Linked DNA regions of Coturnix japonica. The protein of the gene in region 3 interacts with the protein of the main gene of each other region in a pairwise test. Links are inferred from orthologs where the notes say so. Each region holds a gene or a part of one and is shown on either strand. Other genes may lie near its edges.

Evidence for each region.
Region 1: the proteins of PRKAB2 (region 3) and STX19 interact in binary tests that used the Homo sapiens proteins (3 or more experiments, as listed by UniProt). The link is inferred for Coturnix japonica from reciprocal best matches to the Homo sapiens genes PRKAB2 and STX19.
Region 2: the proteins of PRKAB2 (region 3) and BANP interact in binary tests that used the Homo sapiens proteins (3 or more experiments, as listed by UniProt). The link is inferred for Coturnix japonica from reciprocal best matches to the Homo sapiens genes PRKAB2 and BANP.
Region 4: the proteins of PRKAB2 (region 3) and CREB3L1 interact in binary tests that used the Homo sapiens proteins (3 or more experiments, as listed by UniProt). The link is inferred for Coturnix japonica from reciprocal best matches to the Homo sapiens genes PRKAB2 and CREB3L1.
Region 5: the proteins of PRKAB2 (region 3) and RBPMS interact in binary tests that used the Homo sapiens proteins (3 or more experiments, as listed by UniProt). The link is inferred for Coturnix japonica from reciprocal best matches to the Homo sapiens genes PRKAB2 and RBPMS.
Region 6: the proteins of PRKAB2 (region 3) and STX11 interact in binary tests that used the Homo sapiens proteins (3 or more experiments, as listed by UniProt). The link is inferred for Coturnix japonica from reciprocal best matches to the Homo sapiens genes PRKAB2 and STX11.
Region 7: the proteins of PRKAB2 (region 3) and DAO interact in binary tests that used the Homo sapiens proteins (3 or more experiments, as listed by UniProt). The link is inferred for Coturnix japonica from reciprocal best matches to the Homo sapiens genes PRKAB2 and DAO.

The regions. Positions count from the first base shown.
Region 1 is NC_029516.1:80,493,052-80,495,654, forward strand, and holds the end of STX19 (syntaxin-19), read right to left. Parts: intron 1,667-2,603; 5' UTR 1,579-1,666; coding exon 703-1,578; 3' UTR 501-702; downstream 1-500. UniProt on the Homo sapiens protein: Plays a role in endosomal trafficking of the epidermal growth factor receptor (EGFR).
Region 2 is NC_029526.1:16,031,529-16,035,692, reverse strand, and holds the start of BANP (protein BANP), read right to left. Parts: upstream 2,801-4,164; 5' UTR 2,687-2,800; intron 1-2,686. UniProt on the Homo sapiens protein: Controls V(D)J recombination during T-cell development by repressing T-cell receptor (TCR) beta enhancer function. Binds to scaffold/matrix attachment region beta (S/MARbeta), an ATC-rich DNA sequence located upstream of the TCR beta enhancer.
Region 3 is NC_029523.1:4,164,133-4,167,924, forward strand, and holds the end of PRKAB2 (5'-AMP-activated protein kinase subunit beta-2), read right to left. Parts: intron 3,704-3,792; coding exon 3,583-3,703; intron 2,265-3,582; coding exon 2,131-2,264; intron 1,847-2,130; coding exon 1,778-1,846; intron 1,353-1,777; coding exon 1,275-1,352; 3' UTR 501-1,274; downstream 1-500. UniProt on the Homo sapiens protein: Non-catalytic subunit of AMP-activated protein kinase (AMPK), an energy sensor protein kinase that plays a key role in regulating cellular energy metabolism.
Region 4 is NC_029520.1:21,207,819-21,211,924, forward strand, and holds the start of CREB3L1 (cyclic AMP-responsive element-binding protein 3-like protein 1), read right to left. Parts: upstream 2,801-4,106; 5' UTR 2,705-2,800; coding exon 2,597-2,704; intron 1-2,596.
Region 5 is NC_029519.1:30,663,444-30,667,711, forward strand, and holds the start of RBPMS (RNA-binding protein with multiple splicing), read right to left. Parts: upstream 2,801-4,268; 5' UTR 2,174-2,800; coding exon 1,922-2,173; intron 1,846-1,921; coding exon 1,807-1,845; intron 1,701-1,806; coding exon 1,638-1,700; intron 1,259-1,637; coding exon 1,108-1,258; intron 835-1,107; coding exon 704-834; intron 430-703; coding exon 367-429; 3' UTR 360-366; intron 249-359; exon of another isoform or gene 145-248; intron 1-144.
Region 6 is NC_029518.1:41,265,492-41,269,667, reverse strand, and holds the start of STX11 (syntaxin-11), read right to left. Parts: upstream 2,801-4,176; 5' UTR 2,437-2,800; intron 1-2,436. UniProt on the Homo sapiens protein: SNARE that acts to regulate protein transport between late endosomes and the trans-Golgi network.
Region 7 is NC_029530.1:5,746,127-5,750,339, reverse strand, and holds the start of DAO (D-amino-acid oxidase), read right to left. Parts: upstream 2,801-4,213; 5' UTR 2,637-2,800; intron 2,365-2,636; 5' UTR 2,073-2,364; exon of another isoform or gene 2,069-2,072; intron 1,626-2,068; 5' UTR 1,595-1,625; coding exon 1,401-1,594; intron 1,054-1,400; coding exon 939-1,053; intron 770-938; coding exon 693-769; intron 416-692; coding exon 350-415; intron 110-349; coding exon 55-109; intron 1-54. Other genes in the region: SSH1 (protein phosphatase Slingshot homolog 1), read left to right, coding at 3,002-3,067. UniProt on the Homo sapiens protein: Catalyzes the oxidative deamination of D-amino acids with broad substrate specificity. Required to catabolize D-amino acids synthesized endogenously, of gastrointestinal bacterial origin or obtained from the diet, and to use these as nutrients.

The DNA.
Region 1 (2,603 bases), on a different chromosome or scaffold from region 3:
TGCAACACCGGAGGCCTGGGTTCGAATCCCCCTGTGGCGCAAGTGGTAGAAGTGCCGCTCTGCTACACAGGAGGCTCGAATCCTGGGGGTTGGACTCAATGATCTTTAAGGTCCCTTCCAACCCGCACAAGACTCTGGGACTGTGAAAAGTTTAGGCATTGGTTTCTTGATTGTTACTGAGATTCTCTACTTTATGTGTTACTTTTGTTTGTACTACTTCAAGTTCTTGGGGAAGAAAAAATGAAATTTGAATCAAGTAAATATGAGTATTTGAACAAACAAGAACAACAACAAAAACCCCACAGCAATTAAAATAGTATTTTATAAAAGGTAATTCAACCGGTCTTGTGTATTCTTTCTGAGGCTTACAATAATTCGGATGTTTCACAAAAGCACAGATGGCATGTTGACATTGTTTTTTTGACACTTATTATCTGTGGAAGAACAAGTGAGTGTTATTTGTCTCCTTTTATCTTTTTATTTTTCACATGTTACTGTGGAAGCCATAAAATTTAGGCAAAGGTGAAGATCTCTTGTCAATCTTTGAACTCAATTTGGAAAAGCAGGTGCAGTTTTTCCTCAGTAGATGTGTGGAAGGGGGAAAGAGAAGAAAAATGACGCAATAAGAGAATCCTGGGATTGGTTGATAAGTTCAGTTTACTGCATAGGAGCTGCTGCTACTTACAAAGGTCATTTCCTTTGTCACTTGCAGCATGGACAACACCAGCAGCATATTACTTTGCAAGGGTTTCTTTTTCGATACCTGACTGCAAGTCCAAATTTTTCTTTGGATATTTGGGTGTATTCTTGAGTGTTGTTCATACTAATTTCAATGTTGTTAATCATCTCCCCCTGCTCTTCCACCAGAACTGATATCTGGATGAAAAGTTCCTTCAGGTCTTTGATCTGACTCTCTAGGCTGATCAGTTCTTTGTGTCTCTGTTCAATCTCTGAAAGCTGAGCTTTAGTGATTTTGGCTTCAGTGAGTAGATTTTCATTGAAAATCTCCCATTTTCCTTGTTGAAACATATCGTTGACTTCATCCTCAGATACCTCTTTACCTGCTACCTCAAGCTGACGAACAATAAACCTTCTGCATTTCTCTTGCTTGGCTGTTATAGCTTCATTGTATGAAAGCATGGCATTTAGGTAACACCGGGACAGGAAAGTGTGCTGGGAAGCTAAAATTCTTACTATGGCACGTGATATCCCATATTCACTTTCAGCTTTTTTCACTGTTTTTGACAGTTCATCCAAACCCTTTCGTATATGCTCTGCTTGAATTTTTATTTCTCTTGCTGTGTTAGATTCCTTTTTAAGAACACTGAACCTTCTCATTGAAGATACTAAACTTTTTTGTTGTTGACTGAATTTTTGAACTTCCTCCACCAAATTGTTGATCTCGTTCTGAAGCTTCTGGATTTCATGGAAATGCCTTTCAGTTATAGGTTCCCTTTCATAAATAATGGCCTGCTGTTCAAACTCTTCCTGCTCTTCTTGTACAGGTGGACAGCTATTTTCTCCAGCTGTCTGTAGTTCTTTGGCTCGGAGTTTAAGCTCCTGGAGGCGATCTCTCATGATTCTTGTGCTCAGTTTTTTTCTTTATTCTTTACTTCTCTTGTAACACAGGGACTTAACTCCAGTTTCTTCTTTTTCACTTGTTTCCCTGTAATCAAAGTGTAAAGACAATCCCTGTTAGCAGTGGTCTATAGGCATTAAAAGTAGTTTTGGAACTCAGAGCTACTTCCCTTTGTACACTGGTAAAATTAGCAGGTGTTAGGAGTACAAGGAAGGTGAAGTCAGAACAATCTACCCTTTAACCCATTTTCTGTAAAACTTGATCAAAACCTGAAGTTTTTAGTTTATCTTGAGATGTGCAGAGTTAAGTCTTCCCTTGGCTTTTTTGTTATCTTTTGCATTTCCATAGACAGTAATCCATAGTCCAATCCAGTTTGTATGATAGATTATGGTTTATTATCTAGAACTTGAAATAACTAGGAACGTGGCATGTAGGAAGAATTTCCACTTTGTGAAGGAAGAGATGAGAAACTCAAATTCTTGTTTTATCGTAATTCTTTATTGGATGAAGAAAAATGAATCACTTTAGATCTTTTTGGAAATATAAGTAAATTTTAATATTCAGTGGAAAACAAACACTTTAGCCTTTGAGACAATCTGCCTAAGAGTCAGAATTTTGGCTTGAATATGGTATTTTAAGTTTTTAGTTCAGCTACGTTGAAAAATTTTTCTCCTTTTTTTCTTTGCCTTTCCTTATTTGTGGAGTTAAAGTAATGACAACTAAAGTAGTAAACTACAGCAAGCCAGAATTTGTAGTGAAGTATGAAAATATTAAGTGGAAGTGGATTCAGTGTAATTAACATCAGGTCTTGAAGATTTTATACGCTTCTTCAGATTACTGTCACTTTACATTGCCATTTGTGATCTTAATACAGTCTTTACTAACATTTTCTGTACAACATTAGCATGAGATTTAGTAACATTTCTTATTTAATAGAAAGTGGATTTAGTTATGTCTTCTACCTTAACTGCTGCTGGAGCTTTGCTGGAGGTATTTAAACTCACTCCGAGAATTTTATTAACAG
Region 2 (4,164 bases), on a different chromosome or scaffold from region 3:
ACAAAGTGACTTGGCTACAGCATTTATAGGCTTTGCATATACAGGAAGCACTGCAGGGCCAGCATCAGTGCTCTGCAATGCACACAACCAAGACCTCGCTTCAGTCAGGTATTTACAGACAGCTGGCTCAGGTTTAAAGGAGACTTGAGCAAACACTTCATTTCTTTGTGTTTGGCTTCCCTCAAACAGGAAGTTTATAGAAAAAAAAAAGGGAATAACACAACTTTGTATTTTTCCAACTGAAAGAATCTGATCTAGGGTAGGGGGGAAAAAAGAGCCAACCAACCAACCATGCTGCTACAGGTGCAAAAAAGCACAGCAGCCAACATCAGATCTAGGGCAAAACAAGCCACCTGCTCCATGTCTCTTACCACCTTCAAACACTTAAAACATCCAAGCTCCTGCAACAGACCTCAATGCTGCTTTAGAACCCAGGGATAATATCTGTTCATTCTTACAAATATATATATATATGAAGAGCATCACCTGAAGGAAAACACAGACCCTGTGCTCTTCTGAAATACATTACCAGTATGATCTGAACCTGTTTGCCATCATCCCTCCTTCCTCTAGCAAACAAAAGTGATTGCAGCTTAAGCTTGCACCAGCATATCTAGGTATGCTGGCAGAGCGTAGCAGGTACAGCTGTGTTTGGAAGGAGCGTTTTTCTTCACGGTTCCTATGAATCCACGCCAACACGGCAGAAGACGGGCATTCTGTCTTGGTTTTAAGATACAGATGCATCTGAACGCAACGTATGCTTCCCTCCTGCAGTCACGGCTTCCCCCTTTTCCAGCCATGCTTATACAAACAGGAAATGAGATGAAAAGAATTTGGTCCAGATATCATCAGAAATGACTTTATTTGAGGTCCCAGAAGGTTTGTGTCACGTTTGTGTGCAGTCTAACAAGCAGGAGACAGAACTAAGCACTTGACAGCACCTTTTTCAAGGGCTACAACTGCAAGGAAACAAGGGTTTGATGTGACTTTTTAAAGGCATTTTATTTTTTATTGTTACTTGAAGGAGCAGCACTTCACATTGAATGAATACGGGTAAAAAAAGAAAGCAAAAAAACAAAATGACTTCAATAGATAAGAACTAAAGACCAAGTCCCAAACTAAAGCAAAGAGCCGTACAGCTTTAAACCTGCTCTATATTCATGCAGCCACGGCTGGATAATTAAGTCATTAAAGGCAGCTTCTGTTACAGCGTAACAGATGATAAACTAAAACCAAAGAAAAAAAAAAACCTTGCAAAATATTTTCATCTCAAGCAGATGGACTGAGAACGCTTCCAAAATCCCAACGCCATCTTTCAGAACTAAAAAGTCTTCCTTCCCAGCACGTAGTAGTGAAAACTGAACTACTGCCAAGGAGCACTGAATGCACAGAGTCCAGTTTCAGTGCAGCTTAGTTGTTATTCTGCTCTATTCCCATGGACAACCATTCACAGGTGCTCAGACTCTCCCCACCCACATCATATCACAGCCGTGAAACAATGGGTTGAAAACAAGCAGGGCTGATTCGGATGGATGTTAAGCGAGCAGCCAAAACCCTACAGACAAATGGCACGTTTGCTCCTTGACATCAGTCAACAGGGCACTACACCCAAGGTTAAGAAGAAAGAAAAGAAGTATAGTTTTACAATGCTTTAAAAGACTTTGCAAACTGCTCTAATGGAAGCAGTCCACGCTGGATGTGGCTCTGGTGACCCTGCACATAGCAGAGGGGTTGAAACTGGATGATCCTTGCTGTCTTTTTCAGCCCATTCTATGCTAAGCAATCACTGTGCTGCAGTTACACCCCCCTCCCAATTGATTTCCTTGGGCTTTTTGTTTTTCCCCCTGGTGATCTCTAAATATAACCCTATAAATAAACCATCCCCACAGCGGGATAAAAGCGCAGCCTTCACTCCAAGTGCATCACTTCCCACAGTGCAGGACTTAAAATATTCTTGCGGTGCTTGCTTTTTGCATTAGATAAGAACGAAGGGAAGAAGAAAAACATTAAGGGTGAGCTGCCCACCCCCAAACAGAGCAGCAGGGGGTGGAGATGTGAAAAACCTTTCACTGTGCCCAATGACAGAATGAGGGGACTTCAGAGGGGACTTCTTCCCTTCAAGAAGGCTGCAGCCCCCTCTATGTCTGTAGCGATAGGGGGTGGGGGGGCTGCCCTTAAGAAGGCTGCAGTGTCTGTCGCGATAGGGGGTGGGGGGCTGCCCTTAAGAAGGCTGCAGTGTCTGTCGCGATAGGGGGTGGGGGGCTGCCCTAAAGAAGGCTGCAGTCTGTCGCGATAGTGGGGGGCTAAGGGGGCTCCACAGTCCATCCCACGACCCGAAATGGGAATGAGGAGGGACGGCCTCGGTTTAGAGGTGAGCAGAGGGGCTGTACACCCGGCCCATAGAGCAGCACAGAGCAGGCAGGAGGGGAGCGAGGCGAGCAGAACGCAAGGCCCGGCTCCAGAGCCCTTAGGCCGCAGGAGGAGGCCAGGCCTCAGCCTCCCCCCTTCCCTCGCTCCCCGCCTGAAAGCCCGCAGCCCCTCCCCCGTAGCCTCCGCCTCACGGCCCTGCTGCTCGGCCTGACGCTCTAAGGAACGGGAACGCTGCGATAAACGAGGCTCTAGGCCCGGCCTTAAGGCCCCCCGGGAGCTCGGCCCCAGCCGTCCGGCCGCGGGGCGCCGCGGTTACCGTGTGCGGTGCCGAATTCTCGTGGTGTTTGTCGGGCGGCTGCGATAATGGCGTCCTTCCTCGCGAGAGATCTCCGTCTCCTCACTGCGCATGCGCCGCCGCGCTGCGATCTCTCGCCTCCCGCCTGGCTCGAAGGCCCCGCGCATGCGCGCAAAAGACGCGGCCTCGCAACCGCCGCGCCGCTGGGAGAGACTATAATTCCCAGAGGGCAACGCGCAGCACTTGGGCACCGCCCATACTGAGCAGGCCGGGATCTGTAGTACTATCGGCTGGAGCGGTGCATGCTGGGAGTTGTAGTTCGCACACCGCAACGCGTGTAGGCCGCAGTGGCCTATGTGATGTCCCCATCTCAGCCTTATGCATCATTGCAATGATGGGGTAAATGCTCAGCTGAGTCCATGGGTTTATTTAGCCTGTTCTGTCCTTTCACAAGCAGATTAGGAAGTTCAGAGGTTAAACTCCTTACAAACTGACTTTTCCCAATGGATTATGTCATATTTTGCTGCACATTTGCCCTGTATCAGACTTGGAAAACTCAAGCAACCCTGCTAGAAAAGCAATGGTACAGATACATACAGTGCAGCACCTGCTGTGCCACTAAAATCCTTTGCTGTCCAAACCCAAACCCATTAGGATATGGGATATTGGGATGTTAGGATAACAGCCCTCCTGGTTCCTAATCAGTGCATTCCCTCCCATAGATTATTAACTCAGGTTCTGCTGAGGATCCTGCTCCTCATTGTAAAGCTACTCCTCAGCTAAAACAACACATCAACCAATATTCACTTGTGGTCATCAAAGTAATGGTAGGAAACTATGGCAGGATCCAGCTGATGTCTACGACTTTGATCAGAGACATAATAAAAGTAATATAGCAACTTGGCACCTTCTCAGTGCTTAAATCAGGACCAATTTTGACTATTATTTACAGCACAAACCACTTACTGAGGATAAACAGGTGTTTCCTGTGCTTCACAAAATACATCCTCTTTTAGCAAACGAGGTCTTTACTTTATCATGAGGTAAGAGATAGCTCATAAGCCAGCATTAGGAAGAAGCAGATACTCCATTCTGTTCCAGCTTTAACCCACTATATCTTGTTTGAGTGACAAATCAGCTCATATTCCAGCCATCCCCCTCCTCACAAAAATGAATAAGAACATCAGGGTGTCAATACATCATCCTTCTTTTCTTTATTTTATAGAAGAAAATACATTCTGTTGCCCTTCTGGCTTATCCTTCCAAATGAAATAAGCTCAATATTTCCTTGTTGTTTTAATTCCTCACCTTTTCATCCTTATTTTTCAGTCTCTCTTTAGCACTGTACGCTTATGCCAACTTTCCTCTGTCTCATTATGAAAAACCATTTGGTTCCAGGAAATATCTAGCTTATTTTACCTCCGTATCAGCGTTCACTTGCTATTGTTTCCTAAGGAAGTCGCTGGTTTTAGATGGTTTTTTGTGTAGATCAAGAAAGA
Region 3 (3,792 bases):
TGTGCCCTTCACCTGCCTTTGCTTGGCATCGCAGCAGCTGGCTTGGGCTTTGCCTGCCCCATGCTTCACTGCTTGCCCCCTTCCACCCACTGTGCTCAGAGCAGGGTGTCACAGCCCTCCAAGCCGAGCACTTCTTGCCCCGGAACTCAGTCTTGTGTGTAACCTTGCTGCATAACCGCTCCTGCTCATGGATGTATGTATATATATAGAGAGAGAGGTATAGATATTGGAGCTGTGTTTCAGGGTCCTCTCTGGGCATGTCAAGGCCCCAGCATGGGAGGAAAATGTAAGGAATGACACTCTTCAGTCTCTTCAGTGGCCTAAGAATCCCCAATAAAGGTTTCCTTTGGGTCCTGGTGTTTGCAGCACACCTGTCCCTGCGGCTGTGCCCCCTCCTGTAGCCACCTCGGGGTCCTGGTGGCTGTCCCAGGGGGTGCACCGTGGCACAATAATGGTCTCACTGTTCCCAAACACCCCTCCAACACCAGGCCAGCAGCACAGAGAACAATAAATACTGTAATAAATAGAGAAAACCCTGTCACATGGCACTGCTACAGCAGCAGATGATGTAGTTGGGGTCCTGGGGTATCTGCCTTGCTTCGCTCTCCCCAGGCCCGCCAGAAGCACCCGATGGTGGTGATGGGGCAGGCGTTCAGTCCTTGATGTTGGTGTCCTGGCAGCAGGTAAGCATGGCGCATCCAGCTCTGCCCACCCTCCTCCTGGCTCAGCACTGAACGTGGTAGAGGCCAAGAGCTCCCCTTGGAGCTGGGGAGCAGAAGGAGCGGGACAGCCCTGCAGCCAGGGCTGAGGAACAGAGGGACAGTGGCAGGCTGAGGCTCCCCAAGCTTCCAAGGACCAACATGGCCTTGGAGGCTCATTACCAGGGCAGCAAAAGGTCACTTTGCTGCTGGCCTGGCTGTGGACGGTGCCAGGACAGCCTCAGGGCCATCACAGTCTAGAGCAGAGGAGCAGTGAAGCCCTTTCTGTGTCAGGAGCGAGGAAAAGCTGTTCCGTGAGCAGCAAAGCAGCCCCAGAGACTCACTGAAGCCAAAGGGGAGCTGCAGGTGGGCGGAAACCAAGGGTTAAATCAAACCACACCAGTATAATGGGACAGCAGGACGGCCCCAGCAGGCCTGGGCTCAGCACTGGGGGTTGCAGCCCCCCCCAGGTTAGAGGCTGGATCCAGCAGCCAGTCCTCACACAGTCCTGTGGCCCAGCGTGTGCAGACAAAGTGGCATTTCGTGTCCTGCGTGGGGGGTGGGCGAGGCCCCGGCTCAGATAGGTTTGTACAGCAGCGTGGTGACGTACTTCTTCTTGTAGCGGTGTGTGGCACTGAGCACCATCACGCCATCCTGTGAGAGGCAAAGCATCAGCTGCAGTGGGTGGGGAGCTCAGTGCCATAGGGCACCCCCAGGCAGCTGGGAGGAAGAGGCCCCTGCCGCTCTATAGGCCTGGGGGGGGCTGGCCCAGCCACCAAGAACCACCCACCCACCCAAGACAAAGAGCCAAGGAACGGAGCTGGCTTATGACAGGAGAGCACGGGGCTGCCCAGCTCCACCAGGCTGTGAGGAGGCAGCTACAGGGAACTGGGAGCTGTACGGACATCACCACCACCTACACCCCAGCGCATGCCACGTTTAACCAGGCAGCCAAGCAATCCCCAGGTGAGTCCTTGGACCTCTGTGCCACCATCACCACCCCAGGGCCGTCCACATTCTATGAGCTCTGGGAGTCACTCCCCTTCCCCCAGCCCGTGGCCGCTGGGGCCTCCCCTTACCTTGATGGAGAGTGCGTAGAGGTGATTGAGCATGACGTGGTTGGGTTCGGGCAGCAGGGCCGGGTCACACTAGGACAAGAGAAGCGTCAGAGGAGAATAGCAGAACCCTGACCCCCAGCATGAGAAGCAAGGAGCTGCCATCTCAGACAATCTGAGCTGCTGGGTGGCTGTTCAGAACATGAACAGAGCTCGGCTCAGCACAAGGCAGAGTGGTCACTGAGAAAAATCAATGCTCTTCTCAACAAAGAGCAAGGGCCAGGCACCAGCTAAGGGCTGAGCAGGCTTCTTGCAGACAGGAATCCCCTTCTGGCCTCTATGTTGCTCTCTGTATGCAGCTGTGTGCTGGTACCCACCGAGATATTGGTGTCCTTGTTGAGGATGACCTGGAGGAGGTGAGGCGGGAGGATGGGAGGGGATTTGAAGCGTTCCTCAGGCCGGTACACATACATCTCTTGGCCGTAAGGTCCAGGTGGTGAACTTGATAAGTCTAAAGGGAAGAGGCATAAGGTGGCTCGATCACTGATCAGCTCCTAGGATGCTGAGAAGAACCCAGCAGGGTCTTTCAGGCATTGAAGTGTTTCATGAGCCCAGTCTGCGACTGGTACTGAGAAGGCTGGGATCAGCCTGTAGTGGGGCAGCTGTACAGGCTCAGCATATTTAGAAACCACAGCATCTAGGGAATAGAAGGTGACTTGTTCTGTTTCAGAGGGGTCTTCAGACCTCAGTTTCCCCTTAGCCACGTATCATATAGCAACAGATCAGACTTTCCTCAGCAGAACAAGCAGCCAGGCAAGCTGTGGGTGTATCCAAGCACGCCTGTAAGGTGGCACATGCACCGACACAACACAGGCACCCTGTGGAATCCACCCCAGGACCCCTGCACACAACTCTCAGCACTGCTGGGTCCCCCTCCCTGTTCCAAGCAGCACCCAGCCCCAGAGCAGCACCCGTTGCAGCAGGCGCAGGGGCACAGCAAGCAGTACATCTGCACAACTGCCTGACACAGAGGCTCCAAAAGAGGATACAGAAGCTGTTCAGCCTGTGTGAGGGTCCTCAGGAGCTTGTGGTCACTGTAAGATGGACAGATCGCATCTCCCATCCACATCTGACCTGCTCATTTTGGAACAGCCAGCACCCTGAAGGTTCCACCTCCTTGGAGATGAAGCTTGATGGCTTCTTTCTGGGCTTGGGCAAGGGCCTGGAGCTGAGGCTCTATCTGAGACGGGACTTAAAGCATGGAAGGCAGGCTGTGCTCAGAGCACCCTGGACTGAAACATGACTGAACTACCTGCCAGCACCACTCACCAAGCCAGCACTGCCAGCATCTGTGTGGTAACTCAACCCGCTGCTGTAACACGAGTGGAGAGAGCTTTCTGATGCGCTAGCAATAGTACAAATAGCCTCGGTGTGAAAACCAAGAGCAGCTGCTGAAAATAGCCTGGATCCTGCTCTCACCTGGCTTCTACCCCAGATCAGATGACTTACTCACAGTTGAGCAGACAGAAAGGAGAGATGTGTTCCCAGTGTTCACTGGTCTGACATGGCCATCTCAGCCGCAGGCAGGCACCAGCCCTGCTCTGGGACCATGCTAGCACAGAACAGGTTACACCAGCACAGCCTCCTTGGAGACAATGCCTCAGCTAGGAGCTGCTCAGGCCAGGGACAGGACATGCTGCCAAACATTAATCTCTGTGTGTGTGGGCCCACACCCCTGCTAAGGGGAGCTGTTTGTCCCCAGAGCAGTGAGTCTCAGAGTAGGAAGTGGAAAATAGCACATGCAAAGCTGTAATGCCACAAAAACTCACCCCGACCTGAGGTTTCGGAGCTCTCCAGGGAATCCACTTTTAAAGCGTCGAACACCTCAAAGTCAGACTTCTTGACGTGAATCAGATTGTTAATCGTCCCCATCTGGCTGGTGACCACGGGCTGGAAAGAACTAAGGTAAGAGGCTTCCTACGTTCACCCTCAGTTGAAGTGTACTCATGCTTCCCAGCTTCTCCCAGCCTGAGCTGCCT
Region 4 (4,106 bases), on a different chromosome or scaffold from region 3:
TTGTCCAGACCTGTCTTAGAAACCTCCAGGGCTGGAGATTCCACCACACCTCTGGGCAGCCTCATCCTCTCCTGTGTCCTCACAGTGATAAATTGTTTCCTTATACTCAGTCTAAACCTTCCCTGTTCTGATTTACGAGCGCTGCCATGCACTTATGTAAAGAGCCTGGCTCCACCTTCTCAGCAAGCTCCTCACAGGGCCAGCAGGCTGCTGCTGGGTCCCACTGTGCCTGAGCTCCCATCTGTCCATACTGTTATGCTCCTGCTGAAGCTAGCAGCCCCCTATGCACTCTGCTGGCCCAGGGCTGCCCAGTACCCCCAGCACTTCTTTCCTCCTCTCAGCCTGTGAATGCCAGCCTGTCCCAGTGCAGGAGCTGGTCCATCCCAGGAGCAGCAGTCAGTATTGCTTTGCTGCATGTCCCAAAGCTCCTGCTGAGCCATCCCTACAACCTGCCTGGCTTCCTCTGAATGCCAGCCCCCTTAGGTCAGACTTTGTTCTCTGTTTCAAGCACACAGAAATCTTTGAGGTACAGAGGTTCACATGTACGGAGGTACTGTCCTAACTCCTTCCTTACTTCCATCCTTACTACAGTCATGATTTCAAATGAACAACACAGAGAACCATTTCTAAAGAAAGGAGGTGACTTATTAGGAGAGAGAGGGCTCAACAGAGGTGAGTGGTTCAGGGCCATATAATCCATGTACCAAGGAGCACAACCTCTGCACTGAGCATCACTCGTCCTTTCTTTCTGCTTCTGTTCTGAACAGAAGGAATCACCCCCAGAACCAGCCTCATACAGGCATTTTATGGCCAAAATTCCTGGCTCTTCTAAGAAAAATACTTGCTGAACAATATCTGGAAGATTTGCCCATCTATGAAGCAAAGGCACTGGCAACTCTGTGAGCTATTGTGCACGGTGATGCTCTGCACAGCTCTGTGTGAAAACAACTCAGCACATCTCTGGATCCTGGGAAGTTTGCTGCACTTAACAGGAGAATGTCAGTGTATTCATCCTTCCCGTGTTGTCATGCAGCAGAGGAACAAGGAAGCTGATGCACTATGTTCTGGTGCACGTATCAGCTACAGATTCAGTAGGTGGGAAGCAGCTAAGGAATCTCCCCTGCTTATCTGGGAAGGGAAGGGAAGGTGTCTGCTGGACACTCACACTGCAGCAGAAGTCAGCGGTGCTGGCAGCAGGTGAGAGATCCACACAGCGTTCCTTTTTCTAACTGTGAGCTGAGGACAGCAACAGCAGAGCTGCCACAACTGGCTGCTCCTGCCCGTGGTCACTGCACACGGTAAGCACACTGTCCTGGCAGGTGGCACCAGATGGCACTCTTACAAAAGGCTTCTTTTTCTCATGCTCTGTTTGCAGGCACAAGTTGTGTTTGAACTACAAGGAGGGACCGTCTACACGGGTGAGGGTTTTCCTGCCTTCTGCTTGCAGTCTGTGTTGCACAGAGGTCAAAGGACTGGTGCCAAGACAGAGTATTATCACGGAGATAAGAGAATAAGCAGTCCTGGCACAAAGCGCTCCAGGTTCAGCACAGCTGCACCCACGAGGGGTGTACAGTGAATAGGGGAAGCACGAAGCTCTGACCTGCTTGGAGCAGACAGGGCCTTGCACAGCTCCACTGCTGCCACTCCCAGGCACGGCACTGCCTTGCAGTAGGAGCTGGTGAGGCCCCTGGGAGACGAGGCCGCCTGCGTAATCTCTTTCCCAGACCCAATGCATCTCCACACCCCGAGTGTGCTGCACTTCACATCTATGCAAATTCTGCATCTCTACTTTCGTCTCCACGTCGGAGGCAGAGCAAAAGGCTTTGGCTATCTTATGTGCAGCAGAGAAGAAGCGGAGTTAGCCAAGGGCTACAGCCCTCCCCTCCCTGCCCCCTGCAGCGGTGCTGTGGTGCTGGCATCCCTTATCGGGATGTCCTCAGGGATGCTCAGATCTGTACAGGAACAAGGGAGGATGCTCCCCATCTCACCGGACCACCCGAGCACTGGGGCTCTTCCTCTCCTCCCCCAGGGCAGAGGGGCAGCAGATTTGCAGCAAGAGCTCACCGGGACGGCACAGCTCCCGTAGCCCAGGCAGGGCAGCGAGGGAGGGAGCTGTTGGGTTTGGAGCTCGCAGGGCTCCTCGGGAGGCCAGGCAGCTTCCTTAGAGGTGAACAATGCCCCTCTGGTTCCTTGGGACTGGCAGCAGCTCTTCCTCCTAAGTAACTCTTCCTCTCGCCCTGCACTCTAAAGCAAACCATCCCAGCCCTATCGCCGGACGGGGACGCCTTGTCTCTCCGACGCTGCTCTGCCCAAGAAGTGGGAAACAGACGGGAGGGGGGACCCCATGTCCCGCTGCCCGGTAGTGGGGGCTCACAGCCCCGCGTCCCGTGGTCCCGCCGTGCTCCAGCGCTGCTCGAGCGGAGCCCCCCCGGCCGCGCTCCCACCGCCCCGCCCCGCACGCTTCTTCCCGGGGCCTGAGCGCGCCGCCAGGGCAAATAAGGCGGAAAAAAAAGCAAGGCGAACGAGAGCCGCGGGCTGGCAGCGGGAGATCGGGACGGGCATCCCGGGCTGGCCGCCGCCGGGCAGCGCCCCTTACCACATTGCTGAGGAAATCCGCCTCGCTGAAGTCGCCCAGGTCGAGGAAGCCGGGGCCGGCGGCGGGGAAGAGCCGCTCGGCGGCGAAGGGCTCCAGGATACTGTCCATGGTGCCCGCGGCTCGGGGCTCCGCCGCTCCCCGGCCGGGCTCACAGCGGCGGCACGGTCCCGCCGCCCAAGGGCCGGCGGCAGCGGTCCATGGATGGGGCGGCGGGGCCGGGTGGGAGCGGGCCGCCCGCGGGCGGGGGAGCGCCGGGGAGCGCCGCGCCGGTGCCCGCTCGGGGCAGCTGTCAGTGCCCCGCTGCGATGGGGCCGGGCGGGCAGCGCCGGCGGCCGGTAGCGGCACGCCCCCGCCCCGTGCTGGGGAACCGCGGGCGGGACTTGGCGGGCCCACACCCCTTAAGGCAACGCGGAGGCGGAGGGCAGCGCTCTCCTTCCTTCGGGCCGGGCAGACCCGCACAGAGGGGTCCGAGAGTCTCATGGCTGCGCGGTGCGGTGAGGTGCGGTGAGGTGCCCCAGGTGGGTTCGGCTGTGCCGGCCGCTCAGTAACTAAGGAGCTGGGCACCATTAAGGAGCTTTGGGAAGATTATGTGGCTTAGGATAAATGGGATTATGGATCCCCATCCTCCCTGATCCTTACTCCAGCCAATACTCAGGAAAACCACTTAGAATGATCGTGCAGAAGCCTCGATGTTTTGTTGATCTTCCCCTGCTTCTGTGGCTCCACATAATGGGTCCCACTGCTTCTTGGCTGTGGGTGTGTGGAAGAAGTCAGGCAGCTGTGCTGTAATGCTGGTAGAGACCCATTGGGAAATGTCTCAGTGCAGACATGCAGGCACGGCCAGGACCCTGTGTTCCCCACACACGGCTGTCACAGGCTCTGTGTCCCCATGCATCTGAGCACAGCCCTGAGCACACCTTGGCTGCTCCTCGTAGTGTTGGCCACATGCTGCTCCTGCACACAAAGGGCTTTATGCCCATGCACACAATGGGTTCTTTCAGTTGCATTTACTTTTACCTTATGTTTCAGTCAAGTGTGAAGAGCCTCTGGGTGAAAGGGGTCGAAGACATAAATTCAGCCAGGATGGGGCTGTACTGCTCTTCCCATAATACATATTCTTATGTATATGAGGAGGAATGATGTTTGGAAACCATCTACACAGAATGGACCCTCTCCCACGAGGGCCGTTTTCTGCAATCATTCTGGCTTTGAGGGCGATGCTCCCACCTCCTGTCCTGAACTAAACATGGGTATCACCTCTGTCACCACTGTTTCTCAACTGAGCAAACATGGGAAGGCTCTCTTCAAATGACAGAGGGATCAGGCTGCTGTGGTCTAAGGAGAAGATGTACCAGCATCTCTGGGGCATTCAGGCAGCTGCAGGATGACCACTATTATCTCTCTTGCCTATAGGTGGGTCTGATTCAGAGGCAGCCCCATGATGTGGCACCATGCAGTGACTCAGGCTCCTTTCAGCCCCATTGCCTCTGATTTTATACTTAGATTTAGT
Region 5 (4,268 bases), on a different chromosome or scaffold from region 3:
AGAGGAGTGTGACCAGTGTTGCTATAGGGCAGGAAGCTGTATGGCAGAGAGGGGGTGGGGTGACAGGGCAGTTGGAACTCCCACCCCCGCTGTGGATGATTAAGCATGGGGGGACAGCCTGTGCCCGAGCACTGCGCTCCTTACCAGCACACTGTGGTTCTGCAGAGAGCGTGCGTGCCCAGCAGCCGCCGGGGGGCTCTGTTCATACCCACAAGACTGACCGTCGGCCGCCATCACACACCCGAGACCTGTGGGTGGCATGGCAGGGCTCAGGGATGGGGCTGGCACGTCCCCCTTCCTACCCAAGTTTTGGCTGGCACCGCAGGTGTGCTACACGGAGGACACCGGGGGGCACTTACACAGCATTCAGCAGAACTGACGGGACTTCCAGCCCTGAGACCCAGCCTCGGAGGGAGGGAGCCAGCGCATCTGCAAGACATGGGGGCAGGGGGTGAGCAGGAAGGAAAACTGCAGCAAAGGGTAGTGCAGCCATACCCTGGGGCTGCGGTGGCTGCAGTGCTGATTCCTCCAGGAGGAGCACAGGTGCTGCCTGTCAGCGCTGCCTTGACAGGGGAAGTATGAGGCTGCAATAATATTTACCATTGCTCTTCCTCTGGGCAGCTGGCCCCAGAGCTCCCCTCCTTTCCCTCCCTCTTGCTCTGCCTGTCAGAAAGGCTGCAGTGCTGTGAGCCAGTGCCATTACCTGGGCATGCAGCGAAGCAGGGTATGTGAACGCAGGAGGAGGTAGAGCAGGCGTCAGCTCCGCTGGGTACAGAGGGTACGGCCCCCACACTTCAGGGCTGCCGGGGTAAAGTGCAGGCACTGTGAGCTCATCTGCAGGAAAAGGAGGAAAATTAATCCTAAAAGCAAGGGGAAAGTGGACAGCAGGTATAAGCTTTGCACTTCTGCCCAGGCCACCGTCACCTGCCCTTGCGTCATCCCAAGCACAAGCAGCTGGTTTCCAAACCCAACCACAGTTGCCGTGCCTCTCCAAAAGCTTCCCTGCACCCAGCTCCTAAGGTATCACTGCCCCAACTGCTTCAGTAAGAAAGGGGCATTGCCAGGGCCATATACTGGGCGGACCAGGGTCAGGATGCAAGCACTCACAGGGCTCCCTGGCGATGAACTGAGGTACAGTGTTGGGGAGGGGCGTGCTGGGGTTGGGAGTGCCCATCAGCTTGCTCTTGGCCATCTTGGTGTTGGCTTTAGCAAACTCTAACCGCAAGGTCTGGGGGATCTCAGGGTCGAAGCGGATGCCCTGTGGAAAGGAACAGGGCAGCAGAGGTCAGTTAGGCTGAATCTTGTGGTAGGGTGCTGCCCCCCATTCAAGAAGGCCATTTGGGCTAAAACAGCCTCGGATTTTGTCCCAATATCCCCACGGGCTGCTGGGGTGGCCGTGACCTCATGTGCTTGGCAGCGAGCATGGCCCCGTGGCTCACATTCCTCTGACATCCTCGAGCTCAGCACCATATTTGGTAGTCGGTATCCCGTGCAGCCACGCTCCCAGCAAGGGATTAGCGGCGTTTTGCCTCAATGCAAGGATGGGGAGGAACCGGGCTTCCCCAGGAGGTCTCCACGGGGTAATAGATACTGGGATCCATCTCTTTTGGTGTTCCCTAGGGGGTCCCAGCACTCACGTTCAGTGCATTCTTGGCGGCCTCAGCTTCTGAGCGGCTGTCGAAGCTCACGAACCCCACGGGCTGCGGAGAGAGGAGGCGAAGGGCGGTCAGGGCCAAGACCCCACCACATCCCCAGCAGTTGGTGAGGGCAGCCCCCAGGCAGGTGGGGGCACGGTGCAGCCCATACCTGCTTGGAGGTGAGCTTGATAAGTGACCCCTCATAGCCCTGCGGGAGAGAAGAGAAGCACCATTGGTTTCATTTGGCCTCAGAGGCCCTCAGAGCCCCATAGCGGGTGCAGTACCTTGAAGGGCCTGAAGAGCAGGTAGAGCTCGCGGGGCTTGATGTCCAGGGGCAGGCCGCTGACAAACAGGGTCCTCACCTGCAGGGGCAGAGCGTCAGCTGGTTGTGGGCCTGCAGGAGGCTCCCCAGGGCCTCCAGGCCACGCTCCTGCACACAGCTCTGTGCTCACGGCCTCAAGGAAGTGCCCGCTGTGAGCTGTGTTCCTGAAAGCTAAACCCGCCCGAGCCTGACTTTCCGGGTAATTTAGCCCCATGGCTGCGCAGCAGATAAGAGAGATAAAGGCCCTGAAAAAAAACCCTCCGAAATTAGGCCTCACAGAGATGCGGCTTCTCCTCGGTAATGACTTGTTTTCTTTGAAAGTTCAAACGCAGGTCGGCCAAGTCGGGCCAGTGCTGCGGTGCTCAGTGAGCAGGGAGAGAAGCGCAGATTACAGCAGGAGCTTGAAGGGGGGTGGTGGGGGAAATCCCATTTAGGCTTTTCCCCCCTGCCCAAAACCAGAGACAAGCAGAGGCTGGGGAAGGAGCTGCGATGCGGTCTCCCCAGCAAGGAGCCGTGGGGAAAGGCTGCCCCTGCTCTGCCACGGAGCGGGGCAGCTCCCTGACAGAGGCTGTGGCTCTGGAGCCTTCCCCGGGCCCTGCAGATGCTGTCAGTGCAGGCCGGGGTGGGCAGTGGCAGAATCCCCTCTGTGGGGGCTGGGGACCCCTCCCGGAGGGATCCTTCCACGCCAGTGGGCTGACACCCCCCATGGCAGCCCCACCACCCTGCCGCGCTCAGCCTTTCTCCCCGGCTCGCCTTCACCCCTCACCATCCCTCGTCACAGCCCGGGACTGTCACCAGGCGAGGGTGGTGAATGTGCTCCGGAGCCACCCCGTGCCCACCCCACCGCACCCCTCTGTTTCTGCTGCTGCCCACGGACAGACCGGGGCGCAGCCTCGTGCCTGCTCCGTCCCCTTCGCGCTGTCCCCGCCCGGCAGGTTTTCTCCTCGCCCCGGGGACATTCGGGGAGACCTGGCGGGCCTCGCTCCGCCCGAGAGCGGCCCGGAGGCGGCTCGGCACAGCAGCGGCGGCCGCGGGCGGTGCGACGGGCACCGGGTCAGCGCCGTGGCCCCTCGGCTGCCCCAAGGACGCGGTCACGCTCCGCCGCCCCAGCGCCGAGCTCCGCCGGTCAGCTCGGGCAGGAAGGGACCGTCGGGAGGAGCGCGGTGACTCATTCCCCAGGCATCCGATCACCTTCCCCGGGCTCGCTTTAATGTTCCACCAGCGGTGAGCCGCTCGGCTGCCCCCGCCCCGACCCCCGCCCGCGGCGTGACCGCGACCCGTCCTCGTGCCCGCGCACTCGGGGTGAGGGCGCGGCGGCCGGGCAGCGGCGGCACCGACCTCGCGCTGTGCCGGGAGCGGTGCCGCCGAGAGCCGAGCGGGGCCGCCGTCCCGGCTCCCGTCCCCGGCCAGGCTCTGTGCGCGGCCGCCGTGCCGCCCGACGGGACCTTGTGCCGCCGCCTCCGCTCCGGGGGACGAGGCGCCGTGCCCGCACCCCGCGTGAGTCCAAGCGCCCCGCGTCCCACAGCCCTTGTGCCGAGGCGCACCCGGCTCCGGGCCGCTCCGCCTCCCCCCCCACCAACTTCCATAGCTTCCCGCCGCGCCCCGAGCCCCACGCCCAGGCTGACGGGACCCCGCGGACACGCGTGGGGGCCGCACCGCTCCCGCCCCGGGACCCGGCCCGCCCTCGGCGGCTCCCCCTCCCCCGCCCGGCCCGCTACCTCCTCTTCGGGCAGGCCCGGCTCGGCGGGGCCCTCCCGCTCGGCGGCGCCGCTGCTCATGGTGCCGCCGCCGCTCCGCCACCCGCCCGCGGCTGCCTCCGGCGCGGCCCTGCGGCGGGCGGGAGGGAGCGGGGCCGGGCGGGGCGGGGCCGGGCGGGCGGCCACACGGCGCTGGGGGAGGGACGTGGGGACACGGGGTGGGACGGGGCCGGGGACGGGAGCGGGGGTGGGACGCGGAGCTGGGGCGACGGGACGCGGGGTGGGGATGGAGGACAAAGGGCTGCGGTCTGGGACGTGAGGTTCGGTGCGTGGCACGTACGGCTGGGGACGAGGACGTTGGAGTTGGGACGTGGGACGCGAGGTTGGGTACGTAGCACGCGGGGCTGGGGACAGCGATGGGGACGCGGGCCGTAAGGCTGGGAGCACGGTGTGAGCACATGGCACACGGGATGCGGGACAGAACGTGGAACAAGAGGTGTGACACAGCTGGGAACACAGGGCCGGAAGGCGTGACAACGGCTGGTGTGGGGAAGCCAGTGGGACACAGGCGGCTCTCCTGGCAGCGTGGCTGGCCCTGCTTTGGGGAGGTGG
Region 6 (4,176 bases), on a different chromosome or scaffold from region 3:
GTGAGTGCTGCAGGTGGATCCTGCTCTGGTGAATCACCTCAACAAGCCTGACACAGGTCTGCCCAGCAGAACAACTGGGTACAGGCTGCACGTAACTACCATTGCTACTACCAGATGGTATTTAGGCACAATTAAGACATTATCCTAACATCTGCGTGGAAATATGAGGTTGCATGTGATTATAAGTCAGAAGCACAGTGTTCTACAAGCATTTGTAAATCAGCACAACTGCTTTTTTTTTTTCTTTTTTGAGTATACATACATTTAGAGCTCATGGTTATACAATCTGATATCAAGCATTCTTATAGGAAAAAAAAATTCCTTTGTGTTTTAACATGAGGGGTCTTATTGGTGTTTGTTCACGTGGACCAGTACAGGAGGCTGAGCTCTGGGTTCTCCTGCAAAACCTACACACCTCTAACAGAACCAAAGATGTTCAGCCAGGAAACAACCATCACACACACATGCAGGCAAAGTCCCAGCCCCAGGACATGCTGACCAGCAGTACAGCAGTCACCACACAGCACCTATGGGTGTTCTCAGGCCTCTTCAAAGTACCAGGGACACTGGTACAGATGTAATTGGGGGTACAGTGCCACCAGTACTCAGGAAATCTCTCCCTAGCTTTTGTTGATACAAGTTAATCAATAATAATCTTACACCATATCAGTTAAGACTTCCCTGTCTACTGCCCAGCAGATAGAGAAGAAGCTGCACACATGATCAGCCTCACAAAGTCAGGTCCCGTGAGACCATGATTAAGTACAGAAACAAGGCCTAAATGAGATGCACTGAGCGCTGTGTGCAGAAGGCTAGATGAGATAGCAGGATGGTGACACAATCAGCAGAAGCTATCAAAACAGCAGAGCAAAAAAGCAGAAGCTGAACCACACACTGCTGGCTCCCCAGAAGCCTCCCTGCCAGCAGTGTAGCATGGCCACAGAGCATGGGCATGGTCAGGGGCAGGCCTGGAGCTGTGCCCCCAGAATGGCTTCTCTGCAAGGCTGCATCAATGTGAAGAGCCGGCACCTGGGGCTGAGGTAAATTTATCAGGTTAAATTAATTTAAAGTTAAAAAGAAAACAAAAACTCACACATTACTTATATAAGCAGTAGCATGGGAAGCACCAGTTGTACCCTGCTTGGTATCAGTAAGGCCTTGGTTGGAATATTGCATCCAGCACCCATTACCAAGCTAGGAAAGCCAGAGGATACTCACCAGTCTCCAAAGGGTTTAGAAAGCAGGAGACTGAAGAAAGAGGAGAGGGACATAAGCTTGTTCTTCACACAAGATCAGGGAGAAATCACAGAATGGTTTGGGTTGGAAGGAACACTAAAGCCCATTCAAGTTCCAATCCCCAGCCATAGGTAGGGCTGCCACCTACCAGGCAGTGGGGCCTTCAGTACCTCAAAGGATGGGGTATAAAGACACCACACTCTAATGCACAGAAGGAGTTCATAAAAAGAAATGGTTATTTATTTCCAGTGTCATCTATCTGACTTATATGCGAGTTACACTGAACAAGCTGTGATGGGATAAAATAGGATCAGTTCTCCACAGGAACACCATGGAGCCCTCTTCCTCAGAGGTCACCAACAGGCTTCACCCTGTTTTCCTTCGGGCTGTTAAAACTTTTGCCTTTCCTTCTGACTAAAGTTGTGCTCCTCTAGTAGTCTCACCACTCCCATAGAAAAAAGCTTAAACAACAAGAACAGGAAGGCAGCGTCCTCCAAATTGCATTCTCGTCTTAACAAGCCACGCATTTCCATTTGGATCCCTAACAGCTTAAAACAAAACAAAAGGTTCCAAAAACACCACCTGAAGCAGAGAAACAAGAAGCAACAAGAAGCACCACTGAGTGCTGCAGGCCAGCGATACTCTCCCAGTCATTTCCTTCCCCAGTACTGCTATCTCAGACACACACATCACTAACGCTCCTCAGCAGGACAAGAGACTAATGTCAGTTTAATAGGAAGCCATCAAAGAGCACTAGCTCCTGCCTTGCTCACAGACCTGGCCACAGGGATGCCCAAGGAAAAGGGGAATAGCACAAGCTGTTACCTCTCGCTATGAAGCCAAGCACCTTCAGCCCGCACGGCAGCACCACGAGGCAGGAGCACGGGCGAAGCAGGCTGCAGCGCTGAGACAAGACCAGGAGGTACGTTTAGAGAACGCTCTCGTTTCAGCGATGTCCTCTACCCCTTACAGGCAACCACAACCACAGATGGAACCAAACACCTCCGGTCTCCAACCCGCTCTCTGCTGCCGAGCTCACACTTCACTCTCGACTCGCACGGGGCCGTTTCCTTTACTCCCAGGCAAAGCCAAACTGCAGAGCGCTCCTCACACCCCACGGGCCCGATGCTGAGCGAGACACCGACGGCAACACCGAGAACCCAGCGCGGAAAGCACCGTCCCACCCCGCGCAGCACTCACCTCCAGCCCAAACGTGCTTCCCTTCGAGCCGCACTCACTGTCGTTCAGTCCGCGCCGTCGAGGCCAGTACCGGTCCTATTGGAACACCCCGCCCCGTGTCTCGACTCACCGCCCATTGATTTGCATGGCAGCGCCCGCCCCGCCCATCGGGGGGCGGATTTGTACGGGAAGTGTGGGCGAACGCGGGGCGGCTCTGCTTGGCAGTCAGCACCGTGGGCACCGGCAGCCGCTTCTTGTTGTCTTCGGATGTGGGCGTGGAAATACCGGGCTGGACTGGCTACTACACAGCTCAAAGTCCCGCTTCCATTCAGCGTGTGAAAGGAGATGGGCTGCGCTTAGAGGGCTGCACTGAGCCCATTCTTGGGTGTTGACTTGATGATGATAGCAAATAATGGCTGGAAGATCATCTATGCTTTCCAAAGCCGTTCTCAGTTCCCTTGATGCCCCCAAACCTCTTTCACACTGCATCTGCGCACTCCTACCATGTATTTTGTCTGTTGCAAAGGCATGCAGGGCTTCCCATCTCTCTTGTTTCCTATGCTGCTGTTATTTCAGCAAAAACACCTCAGCAGCAGGTAAATACTTGAGGTTTTATGGTTAATAACCAGTTTAAATTGTGTCTGACAGAGTAGCTGTGTCTGCCTGAGGGAAAAGGCAAAACACCCCATAGTGCACTCCTTGCTTCTTTCTGTGCGGAGTCTTTGGCCTCTGGGGTGGTGTTAATTCATACAGGCGGAGCTGAAAATGAAGCTTCATGTTACTGTAACTGTGTGGGTAAAGAATGTTTAGAATCACAGAATCATTAAGGCTGGAAAAGACCCTTAAGATCATCAGCTCAGCTGTCAGCCCATCCATACCACTGATCATATCCGTCAGTGCCACATCCACACGGTACTTCAACACCTCCATGAACAGTGACTCCACCACCTTCCTGGGCAGCTGCCTCACTACTCTTTCTAAGAAGAAATTGTTCCTTACATCCAACCTGAACCTCCCATGGTGCAATTTAAGGCCATGACAGAACAGCAATGGCAAATGAACCAGGTATGCCATATGTAAAGATTGTCTGTGTCATGAGATGGGAAACTTTTAATGCTCATTTCTTAGGAATGTTATTATTATGAGCACTTGTTATGCTCATTTCTGTCAGTTTTGAAATAATGAAAGTGATTAGACAAAGTGATTTACCCATAAGTGAGACTGAGTGTTTTCAGCCCTGTCAACTTATTCAAGTCCTGAGAAGCATTATTTGCAAAGCTACAAAAGTAACAAAGTAGGGTGTTTTTTTTTCCCACTTTATACCATCTCTCATTAGATGAGAGACATTCTGTGAAAGTTGTGTGAAAGGAAATACTCTGTTCACATTGCTAAAGGCAGATCTTACTGCTGTAGTGATACCCATGAGTTAAGAGTTTCCAAGATTAGTGCAGGAAGGCTGAGGCTGATGCTAGGAAATCCTCTCATTATATGCCTTCACTGGGGAGTCTCCAGCTGCAACACTCCCACCTCGAGCAATGCCTTTCAGAGACCTTGCAGCCTCTGGCAAAAGCAGGGGCCTTCACAGAACAGCTTCTTCACTAAACGTCAGTGATGCAACAAGATCCTGCTCACTTGCATGAGGAATGGGCTGCTCACAAGAATTCAGAAGTCAAGGCTCTCGCCAGCTAGCTAAATCCAGCTTAATTCTTTGCTGAAGATCATGGTGTTGTTTGGATTTGCAAGGGATAGCAAAGAGCAGCA
Region 7 (4,213 bases), on a different chromosome or scaffold from region 3:
AGCTGTGCTGCTGATGCCTGACTGCATCCTGGCTCCCCACCATCCCCAGCTCACCTCCTCAAAGGACTCGACCTTCTTGTGGAAGAACTTCACGCCTCTCTGCGTTAGCCTGGAAGAGCAAGTTCATCTGTTACCAGCACATAAAAGCCAATGTACCATTCAAACTAATGCCTGCAATTGATGCACAGGGTAGGTACGGCTTGTTGCTCCTTGTAATAAACATTCACGGTCTTCTCAGCAGTTCTTAAATACTCTCCAGCCATTATTAGCTCATTTCCCTAATGGCCAAGAGCCCTGCTCAGCCCTCCAGGTCAACCAGGGAAAAGCAGCAGCAGGGCTCAGTACTCACCTATTGGTCAGCCAGGGCAAATAGCTCCTGCACTCCAGCATCAGCGCCGTGTTGAACCAGCCGTAGCTGAAAGACATGAGGATAGAAAGTAGTAAAGACCACAACAGCTGCCCAAGGGTGGCTGCACCCTACCCCATGCATGGGCACAGCCAGGGCTTTGTTTTTTCCTATTTACTGCATAGCTGTTTTCTTCCCAAGTTTAAAGGTATGCAGTGAAATGAGAGAGGGAGCTGGAATGGTTTTCATGCATTGTTACTGCTTGCTTTGAGGTGATTCGTGCTTCTTTTAAGGGAAATAACTGTGATGGAGCCCAGAAACTCTCAGAAAAAGGGCCTGGAAGTACCTGTAGCCAGGAAAGAGTTCAAGCTCTTTCGGTGTCAAGTTCCTGAAGCCAAGGACAATGTTCTTCCAAGATGGATCCTGTGAAGGGGAGAAGGTTTGATATCACTCAAATGGCAGTAATCAATTGTGGTATTGCAGGGACAGGAGTGAGAGATGTCCCTGCTGTCCAGCTCCTGCCCAGAAACTCAAACCTGCTCACTGCCCAAAGCTGGGGCCCTTCCTGCCTCCCCTGCACTCAGCTCCTTACCGGTACAGGCTGCTTAAACAGGTTGAATCCAGAAATCAGGAACAGTCCCATTTCCTTTGCTTCCAGTGAATTGAGGTACCCCAGGAGGTGCTCAAAGGTCTCTTTGTTCCACAGCCTGCATGGAAAAAACCCATTAGAAGACACTCCAGGCCTTGACCATCTTTGCAGCCCTCCAAAGGACTCCCTCCAGCAGCTCCCCAGCTCAAGACAGACAGGGAACTCAGAAATGGGCTCCATGCTCCACATATGGCCTCCCCAGGGCAGAGCAGAGGAGAACCTCCCTCACCCTGCTTTCCATTTGTAATACAGCCCAGGGTACCACTGGCCTTCTGAACCATGACGGCACACTGCTGCCTCATGATTAACCAGGACACCCAGGTCACGCTTTGCAGAGCTCCTTTCCAGCAGCTCAACCCTTAATCTGCATAGATATCACAGAATGGCTTGGAAGCTCCAACTCACGTCTCCTGCAGATTGCCGTGGTCACTCAGGTAGGGCTGCCACAGGCCTGCAGCCCCATCGCTGGTGGTGTGGGGTGTGAAGTGGTCTGCATAGACCTCCAGCTGCAGCTGGGGCACCAGTGCTTGGAAGCGGTCATGGATGCACAGGGCGGTGGACAGGCCGATCACTCCAGCCCCAATGACAGCGATGCGCATGGCTCTGGGCTCTGTGTGGTGAGGAAAAGGCCTGGAAGAAGGGCCAGGGTGACAGTGGGCTTCTGCTATCAACTCAACGTGATCCCAGTTTGGCTGCTAGAGCACAGGAGGATTGCACAGGGGCTGAGCTGCGCTGGGGAATCATGGGCACCAGGCTGCCAGACATGGCCTGGGGCAAGCTTATAAATTCTACACCAGTTTTATTTGGATAAGGTGAAGCACAGCACCCCTGCGGCACTGCTCAGCTCACAGCAGGACTGACGCCTGCTTGGGCTGCAGGATGAGTCACAAAGACGATGGGCAGCAGGACAGGGCCGTGCTGCTTCCCATCTGCTGCCGCTCACAGGTCAGAGCCAGCAGAAATCAGGGCTACCTCTGCCAAATGCAGCCCTGAGGACAAGCTGAGGAGGCATCCATCTGCCCCGTGAGCCTTCAGCTGGTCAATAAATAACAGAAACACAACCTTCCACTGACCTACCTGCAGAATTCTCCAGGCACTCTCTGTGGGTTTTGGAGGCTTCAGTAGAGCCCTTAGTGCAGCGTTGCTTGTTTGGAGCCCTGCAGTCCAACTATCAGTGTCCAGGGCTTGCAGACGCACCCTGTGCTGGGCAACGGGGTCAAAGTCTTTGCTCCAGACCCAGGAGGTGGAGTCCCTGGTGCCCTGTGGTCCATCCTCTGGAAGCCCATAGGGTCACTGTGGTCCATGTCAAAGTCCCCAGCAGCAGAAATGCAGTCAGACAGGAGGAAGGCGGGGGCAGGCAGTCACTCTGCTGTAAAAAAAAAGGGGGAAAAAGTTATTCAAAAGCCTAAATTATTAAAGGCTTTACATATAATCAGCAAAGCCTCTTAAACTAATTACCCTACTATTTGCCTGGCTCTTGCTTTTGGCACCGCTGACCCTTCACGCTTCCTTCAGCCTGGTTATAACGTGGTTCCTTGATGCTATACCTAGAAATGGATGCTCTATGGATGCTCTTTCATCCCTTTGGCACCTCCTTGGGACCCTTCAGCCTGGTTATAATGTGGTTCCTTGATGCTATACCTAGAAACGGATGCTCTATGGATGCTCTTTCATCCCCATGGGTTGTCTGGGGCATGTGGATACAGCAACCAACTGGTTTCTCATAGAATCAATGAACCATGGAATGATTTGAGTTAGAAGAGGCCTTAAAACCCACTCAGGTCTACTCAGCCATGGGACACTTCACATACAATCACGGTCCCTCTAGGCCCCGCCCGGCCCAGTCCTGCCCCCCACCTCTCCCCGCCCTTCACCCCTCGCTCCTCCCCTTAGCACGGCGTATGCCGGCGGGGCCCGGTGCTGCGCAGCCGCCGGGCGGGATGGAGGCGGCCGGATCCCTGTAACCACTGTAGTATCCCGGCCTTTATCACCGGATCCACCCCGCCATGGCGCTGGTTACGCTGCAGCGCTCGCCGACCCCCAGCGCCGCCTCCTCGGCCAGCACCAGCGAGGTGAGGCGGGGACGGGTGGGGTGGGCCGGGCCTACGGGTGAGGCCTCAATAGGGCCCGGCTGTCCCGGGGGGGTGAGCCCGGCCCTGCTGTGGGGCGATCTCCTCCCTGTCCTTGGCCCCACAATCCTATTTGTCACCTGTCAGGGCCCGTTGACCCCCCGATTAATGCGCTGGGATGAGCTCCGTGGTTGGGTCTCGGAGGAGCAATGCCCTGATTGAGGAACATGGGGATGGTGTTTGTGCCCTGTGTTGGGTTCGGGATAAAGCAGTGTGGGGTGAAGGAGATGGGGCTCAAAGGAGGAGAACTCATCGCTCACTAATGCTCCTAACAGGAGGTTGTTACCTCTGCTCCCAGGTAACAGCAGTAGGATGGGAGGTGGTGGCCTCAGTTTTCACTAAGGGAGAGTTGGGTTAAATATTGGGAGAACTTGCTCTGAAATAGCAGTGATGCAGCAGTGCAGGCTGCTCAGGGACGTGGTGGTGTCACTGTCCCTGGAGATGCTCAAGGAGCGTGGAGGCTGGATTTGGTGGTATTATAGGCCTTTTTCAGCCTTTATGATTCTATGCAAGTCTGACAACCATCCCACCACCCCAGATTGCCACCAGCAGGTGGGTTTAACTGGGAGGGAAAGTCCAGGTGGGCTGCTCACTCTTGGCCCTTGCATACATGGGTCAGGCTTCATGCCATGCAGCTCACTGCCCACCAGTGTTTCTTGGTGGGGTACCCATGCAGCCCCCATTACCCACCAAACTCTCCTCCTTTAGTGGCTCTTGGAGGAGTCCCTTCTCCCATGTGAATGCTCCCTCCTGGCATACAGCTCTGCAGAGCCACAGAATTCAACCTGGTAGCTGATTTCCAAAGGAAATCCCTCCAAAAAATGCCTCATTTCTTCCCCTTCTCCCAAGGATGGATGTGCAGGCTCTGCAGGGCTTTTAGCCTATGGTGATTAATTACCAGAAGATATATCACTTTAAAATGGAAAATGATGACCAAATGTTCTTGCTAATTGTGAGTAAGCTGCTGTGGCCTCTCCTAACTCCTCAGCCTGAAGGAATGTAGGAAATGGATGCTGCTGCCTGCACGAGACTCGCTGTTGTAACACGCTGTAAATCCATAGGGGTGATCCATCAGAGCAGTGATTGTAG